Linked DNA regions of Arabidopsis thaliana. The protein of the gene in region 1 interacts with the protein of each later gene in a pairwise test. Each region holds a gene or a part of one and is shown on either strand. Other genes may lie near its edges. The genes, in order: SNL2 and AT1G77250.

Region 1 (3,923 bases):
GTATGCACGATTGAAGAAGTTGTTTAAGAAGCACAAACATTTGATTATCGGCTTTAACACCTTTTTGTCACTTGGAGATAAGATATTTCTTCATGGTGACGCAGAAGCCTCTACTAGCTCCACCGCATAAGACTATTGAAATTTCCTATCATGGTCATGACACCAATGATACCATCAAAATCTCTAAACTAATCTCTATGTTCAGTTTTTGGTGGTTTATTATCAAATATGTTTCTTTGTAATCCATGCATGAGGGAACGTTTCACTGCAATAAAGTATGACCTCTTATATTTTCTTTACGTTCACATAAATTTGGTTACAAAAATAAAAATAAAAATAAAAATAAATGGTTACAAAAAAGAAAGAAATAAAATCCTAATAAATACTTTAATGGGCCTTACTTCGGCTGATAATGGGATATAGGCCCAAAGAAGTTGCAAACGGACGGTTTTAATAGGCGCAATTTGTTCTATTTGTCATCGCAACACTCTTGTTCTGATTTGCATAGAATCGTCGCTGATCGAAGTGATTCTGCTCGATTTTGCTCTCACTTGAAAGATCTGAGTGATTTGTTTCAGATCTTCTCCGAAAGTGAGTCTCTCTAAACTTCATCGTGATTCTTTGTTTCTCTTCTGCTTGCAATAACTTTTTCCCCCATAATTCTTCAATCAGGGATGAAGCGGATTGGAGATAAAGAAATCGACGGTTCTGGGTCTCAAAATCAACATCCAGTGGGCTCCCCTCGAAACGAATTGTAAGTTCCATTTTCAATCTTAGCGATGAGCACACAGAGGGTTTCGCATTTATGCTATTTCAAATCTTTTAATCTAGTTGCGTTTTAGCAAAAGACTTTGGTTAGTATCGTAATCTTGAAGTATTGTGTTGATGATCGTGGGGTTGTTTTTGACGCAGACAAGGGCAATCTCCAAAACCTGGAAACGGTAACACCAAAGATGCTTTGACAACCGATGATGCTTTGGCCTACTTAAAGGAAATAAAGGACGTGTTTCATGATCAAAAGTACAAATACCATCTGTTTCTCGAGATTATGAGCGACTTCAAGGCACAAAGGTATAACATCTTTTTGTTTTGTTTCTTTAAGTATCATATTTAGCCTCTGAACCCATTCTTCATCTTGCATTTTATCAGGACCGATACTTCTGTCGTGATTGCACGAGTCAAAGACCTGTTAAAGGGACATAACCATTTAATTCTCGTATTTAACAAATTCTTGCCACATGGGTTTGAAATTACTCTTGACGATGAGGATGAGGATTAAGGATCAAGAAGCTAGCATTTGAATGAGACGGATATATCAAATTAGCTCTCTGTTCGACCTTTTTTTTAATATCTTCTTAGCTCTACTACAAGTTACAATTGGTTATTTTTAGTATTGGAGAAACAGGTTGTGTTGTTACTTCTGCTCAGAATTATGAATGTTTTTTCTCATAGATCAAAAGATCTCTGAAGTCTGACATGTGAATTTTATTCAAAAGATCATCACAGCAGAAGTTTCAAAATAACTATTCGATTGGGCTCTCATAAAGTACAGTTTGTTTATCTTTCATACTCTGATTTCAGAATAGCGTATATTGCCAATAAGGCGAAGCAATCACAGAGCCAAAAACCAAAGAGTTCTCATTGTTTTTCTAATACAAAACCAAGATTTGAAGATTCAAATAATAAAACTTATTGAGATCAGAGTTTGGTTAATAAATTCTCAGTCACGGTTAATCAGAAACACGGACCAATTTGTTACTCATCACATCTCTGTTCAGAAAAAGGGACGACTATGTGCAAGATCTAAAAGGAGAAGAGAGGAAATATAAAAACAAATAAGATCATCAGAGACTTAAATACTAAGAATCATAAAGATTTCTCCATCATATTGTTGCAGTATTTGCTCATCAACTGATCCAAACAAAAAATCCGAATTTCAAAAACACTAAAAACTGCAGAAGTATATAAGAAGATGTAGCAAGCTTAGATCGATATCTCTGAGTAATGTTATCTGTTTCCTCTTTATATATCTTCCTCGGCGAATATGATGAAGCAAAACCCTAATTACCTTACGAATTTATTTAATGGGCCTAATAATCAGGGCCTTTTATTAAGCCCATTATAAATTTTAACGGCCCAAAAATAGAAAAAAGGAAATAATAATAATTTGGTCTCGCTGAAACAATTCTAAAGAAGGTGCCGGGAGAGACCTCATAGGCAAATTCCGTCCTCGTTTCTTCTTCTTCTTCATTATTCGAAAATTACTTTCTCTCTCTTGCTTCTCAGTCGTAGCAACTCCAATTCAAAACATTTCTCTCTCATTTGTTTTTTAATCTTCTTCTGAATTCCACTCTGTTCTCATCGGAATTGTTCTTGGGGTTTGGCACAATTCGGGAAATTTGAAGTTTTCGCCGGAATTTGATCGGAAGTGTTTCTTATCGATTCCGCTCTTACTCGAGAGATCTGATTAATCTCTTCCCGGAGTTATATCTCTGGGAAATCTGGAGAACGAGAAAGTAGGTTTTATCAACTTCATCTGAATTTTCCTTTTTTAGATGCTCAGTAATGGAATTTCTAAATTGGGATTTTGGGTTTACCTTCAAATTTCTTCATTTCTCTTCTCTAATCGATGATCTTTCTTGTTTGTTTTACTCAGAGCAGCAATGAAGCGAATTAGGGATGATATTTACGCAACCGGGTCTCAATTTAAACGTCCTTTGGGCTCTTCTCGTGGCGAATCGTGAGTTTCCCTTTTCGTCAGACTTCGAAAATTTAAAATTGCTGGCGATGAGACATTATAGCTTGTTTGCATGAAAGTTACTAAGTGATTAGAGTTTGTTTGGTGCAGATATGAGCAATCTCCAATCACTGGAGGAGGGAGCATTGGTGAAGGGGGAATCAACACTCAGAAATTGACTACCGATGATGCTTTGACCTACTTAAAGGAAGTAAAGGAGATGTTTCAAGATCAGCGAGACAAATATGATATGTTCCTTGAGGTTATGAAAGACTTTAAGGCACAAAAGTAAGATCTTTAATTTCTTTCCTATCAGATCGATTGAATTTTTGAAGCCTCTGGGAACAATTCTTCATCTTGCATTTACAGGACTGATACATCTGGTGTGATTTCACGAGTGAAGGAGCTGTTTAAGGGGCATAACAATTTGATTTTCGGGTTTAACACCTTTTTGCCTAAGGGGTTTGAAATAACGCTTGATGATGTAGAAGCTCCTTCAAAGAAAACTGTTGAATTTGAAGAAGCCATAAGCTTTGTTAATAAAATTAAGGTCAAGAAGTTCTCTTCTCGTATGTATGTCCTTATCTTTGAAGTGTCCTCTACACCTAGTATCTCATTGTATCAGTTTCTTTTGCATCACTGCAGACACGGTTCCAGCACAATGAACTTGTCTATAAGTCGTTTCTGGAAATCTTAAATATGTATCGGAAGGATAATAAGGACATCACTGAGGTTTACAATGAGGTAATGTCACATTGAAGTGATTATATCTCTCGTATACTTTCACGTCGATAATTCTCGATATTTTATACCTCTAATATCTGTTTATTTAGGTGTCTACTCTTTTTGAGGACCACTCGGATTTGCTTGAAGAGTTCACTAGGTTTTTACCAGACTCGTTGGCGCCTCATACAGAAGCCCAGTTACTTCGTAGTCAAGCCCAACGGTATGATGACCGGGGATCAGGCCCTCCTCTTGTGCGTCGAATGTTTATGGAGAAGGTATGGTATCGGTTACGTTTCTTCCTGGTTCTACTATATTGTTTTCAGGACTCTCTTTTCTGTGCTGATACATTTTTCATCATCAGGATCGCCGACGAGAAAGAACTGTTGCTTCTCGGGGTGATCGTGATCACAGTGTTGACCGTTCTGACCTTAATGATGATAAATCAATGGTTAAGATGCAC
Region 2 (3,923 bases), on another chromosome or scaffold:
GTGGTGTTCCTGCGATGGTGGCTGTCTTTGCCACACGGAGGTTGTTGTATCCAAGCCAGTCTTTTGAGATGATTCATTGTTCCAGATGCAGAATTAATTGGACACGCGATGGTTAATTTCTGGCTTTTTGCTTCTCCTCTAATGTTATTTGAGCTTTAGCATAGTAAGTGACTACAGCATTTTGTTTCTATGAATTACACAGATGGGATACTTCTTCTTGAAGTTAATAGAATGCTTAGAGCAGGAGGCTACTTTGTTTGGGCTGCACAACCCGTTTACAAACATGAGGATAACTTGCAAGAGCAGTGGAAAGGTTTGTATATTATTCAACAAAATAATTTGTCTGCTATGGAGTTTAACTAAAATATGGGTGTTGCTTCTGCGCTTTGATTATCTTTTTCAGAAATGTTAGACCTTACGAATCGAATCTGTTGGGAGCTTATCAAGAAAGAGGGATATATTGCTGTGTGGAGGAAGCCTCTAAACAACAGCTGCTATGTCAGTCGCGAAGCTGGAACAAAACCTCCTTTGTGCAGACCTGATGATGATCCTGATGATGTTTGGTACATATATGCATCTGAAAATCTAGTTTCTTTTTAATAGTTTTGAGCCTTCTTGCATAGACATTATATGATAGAACCACCAAATTCTCAGCTTTTCAATTAAAACTTTCTAAAAATCTCAACTTTGTGGTTATGGTTTCCTGTTCCAGGTATGTAGATATGAAACCGTGCATCACCCGATTACCTGATAATGGCTATGGGGCTAATGTCTCCACATGGCCTGCACGTCTTCATGATCCGCCAGAGAGGCTACAAAGCATTCAAATGGATGCGTACATATCCCGAAAGGAAATTATGAAGGCAGAGTCTAGATTTTGGTTAGAAGTAGTAGAGAGTTATGTGCGGGTTTTCCGCTGGAAGGAGTTCAAACTGAGGAATGTTCTGGACATGAGAGCTGGTTTTGGAGGGTAACCATCAATCACACCCTTTTTTTGTTTCTGCCTTACCAAAGTTTATTTGATCTAGTATTTCTTGATTTTGGTAGGTTTGCAGCAGCATTAAACGATCTGGGGCTTGACTGTTGGGTTATGAACATTGTTCCCGTTAGCGGATTCAACACCTTGCCAGTTATTTATGACCGTGGACTACAAGGGGCTATGCACGACTGGTACAGACTGATAACCTTCTGCTCTTTTGCTTCTAATCCCACATAACTTTAACTTACACAAGATCACATTTAAAGCTTTTTTCACTTACTTCCTCTAGGTGTGAGCCATTTGACACCTACCCAAGAACCTATGATCTGATACATGCTGCATTTCTCTTCTCTGTTGAGAAAAAGAGGTAAAAAGATTTAAACTTCGTTTTTCTTTTTATCCTGAATCCAAAAATAAAGGTCAGGAACTTGATTGGGGTAATGAATTGTGGAACATAGGTGCAACATAACAAACATTATGCTGGAGATGGACCGGATGTTGAGACCAGGAGGACATGTTTACATAAGGGATTCACTGTCTTTGATGGACCAACTTCAGCAAGTGGCTAAAGCCATCGGTTGGACTGCTGGTGTTCATGATACCGGGGAAGGACCCCACGCAAGCGTTAGGATTCTCATCTGCGATAAACGGATATGAGGAAAAGAAAAAGAAAAGATACGAAATCGAATGTGATGATAAGTCTGCTCAAAGCGACAGTTCTTCTTAGTGATAAATTGATAATTGTATTATTGTTTATTTGTTTGTTGATTTGATTGTTGAAGAATGAAGAGTGTTAATACACTTGAGCTACTTTAACACATGAGTAACAAAAAGATTCATTTTCTCAGACAAAAAAAAACAGAGAGAAGTGTGAAATAAAGAAACAGAGAATGGTGGGTGTCTTTCAGTTATAACCGTTGGATTGCTAAAGTTGAGATCCGACGGTTGTGACTCTTTGATCAGGGAATAACTAAAAGCACGTGCACATCACGAATCTGTTACTGTGGTGGACTCCGTCACCGTGAGTCTCCGGCGCGGTTTTTATTACTACTTCCACGTGTCAGTTTCGCGTCACTGATTACCGGTTTTGACCGGTTTCAGATCCAAGTTGAAAAATATACCGGTTAAGGGACGCGGAAGTTTAAAAATGATTCAAAGATAAGAAAGGCCGGGATTTACAGAACCACCGGCGAGTCTTAATCTCCGAGAGCCGGTAAATCAATCCTCTTCCTCAAATTTCTAGGGTTTGCTCTTCGTCGGTTCTTTACGCAGATTTCTTCACACTGGTACGGTTTTACTCTCTTTTTCCCTCTTGTCGGTTTTTTCGCTAGAGGTTTGAATTTGGATTTAGCTTTGTTCCGTCTTTTGTAGTGTCTAGATAAAGCTCCATTGAAGTTTCCGTATCTAGAAATTCGTTGTTTTCTGATGAAATTATGGTAGAGAAGTCTTCAATTTCATCGCTTTTTGTTGGAATGATATTGTTTTTTCTAATTTCTAGATGGTTTATTTGGTGATAAAATCGAAGACATTTTGATAGTTTGTTACCAATGGTCAACATTTCCATATGAGATTTCGTTTGTGGGTTATATAAGGACTCAAGTTTCTGTTTTGTCTATTGTAGGATGGAAGATTGGTGAAACCCTAGCTCCACTGTGTGAGGATCAAAACATTTGTTTAAGATGTTCATGGAGGAGGCGACAAGTAATGGTAAAGGTACAGAGCATAATCAGCCAAATGGTTTGGTGGAAAGTGAAGCATTGAATAATTGGAGTGCAGGATGTGGTGCTATGGCTAATTCTGCAAATGCTAGTTCCAGAGATAGTAAGAAGATACAAACATATAAGCGGAGAAAACTTGGGAGATCTTATTCTGCTAATAAATGTTCGGAAAATGATAGATTTTCCATGGAAGGTGTTAGTCACTCAGAAAGCCGGGTACTTTTCATGCCTTTTTCTATTATGGTACCACCTCTTGTTGTGATTGGTTTTAAAATGCTGGAGTATATGTAGTTGCTAGCATTTTGCAACTTTCGCTCACCTCAGTTGTTATATGTTTTGTGAATTTAGTTTATTGGTTTATTTTAGAGCCTTGGCTAAGTAATGTATATTAGGATCTCTATAAATCTAGTGATGGTTGGGTAGTTGCTTCAATAGTGAATATTGGGCCTCAATTACTCAGCATGTTGCTGAGGGAGCTAAAGAGAAGGGTCATTTCTGCTTATATTCGTATGGCTATTCAAGTAACAATTTTGCGATTATATATCTGTTCCCTTCATTTTGTTCAGGCTACATTGGTGTCTAGTGTGTGATAGCTATGTTTCAGGAAACGCTTTGCAAATAGTAGTAAAATCCATATGTGCTGTTAATACTGTGCTTATTGAAAACCTGACTAGAGTTTGCTAAATCATGCATTCATTCCTGAACTTCGTCTCAGGTTATATTTGTGTGATCAACTCATGTGTTCATGATTTACTTTCATGAATATGCTCCTAAAACATGTTAGCTCTTTCTTGTTTTGGATTAATTTTTTCATTAAATTTCTTCACAGGAGTCTGTCTCTTATGAAAGGTTTAGCATAAGAACCCATCTTACTGGTGAACTCCCGAAGCCTCCCAGTCCAAATAAACCATCAAGTGAATCCACCAATCATGAGACGGTGACAGCCGGTTGCCAGCATGTTCTGTCCCATGTTTTAGCTTCAAAGGAGTTTGCATCCCTAAATAGGTTACTTTCCGAAAATCTTCAAGGGGTCAAGATTGATGATTTTACGAGCAGAACTCTGATAGACACCAGGATGAAAGAGGGTGTTTATGAAGGTTCACCTCTGCTCTTTTCAACGGATCTCCAAGAGGTAATTAGTGGAAATCATGCTTAGTCTAAGATAAATATGCATGAAAACAGATTATCATGTCTTTCTTATTCTTTTCATTGTGAAAAATATAGTC

The links.
Region 2: the proteins of SNL2 (region 1) and AT1G77250 interact in a two-hybrid assay, tested with the Arabidopsis thaliana proteins (one large-scale study listed by BioGRID).

The regions. Positions count from the first base shown.
Region 1 is NC_003076.8:4,864,310-4,868,232, reverse strand, and holds the start of SNL2 (SIN3-like 2), read left to right. Parts: upstream 1-2,201; 5' UTR 2,202-2,516; intron 2,517-2,656; exon of another isoform or gene 2,657-2,661; 5' UTR 2,662-2,663; coding exon 2,664-2,740; intron 2,741-2,848; coding exon 2,849-3,025; intron 3,026-3,106; coding exon 3,107-3,287; intron 3,288-3,382; coding exon 3,383-3,481; intron 3,482-3,570; coding exon 3,571-3,738; intron 3,739-3,824; coding exon 3,825-3,923. Other genes in the region: AT5G15030 (paired amphipathic helix Sin3-like protein), read left to right, coding at 1-130; AT5G15025 (paired amphipathic helix Sin3-like protein), read left to right, coding at 675-754, 913-1,071, 1,150-1,279. UniProt on the Arabidopsis thaliana protein: Acts as a transcriptional repressor. Plays roles in regulating gene expression and genome stability.
Region 2 is NC_003070.9:29,021,674-29,025,596, reverse strand, and holds the start of AT1G77250 (RING/FYVE/PHD-type zinc finger family protein), read left to right. Parts: upstream 1-2,122; 5' UTR 2,123-2,265; intron 2,266-2,600; 5' UTR 2,601-2,658; coding exon 2,659-2,913; intron 2,914-3,526; coding exon 3,527-3,829; intron 3,830-3,923. Other genes in the region: AT1G77260 (S-adenosyl-L-methionine-dependent methyltransferases superfamily protein), read left to right, coding at 1-111, 203-313, 404-563, 713-970, 1,048-1,170, 1,269-1,346, 1,438-1,636.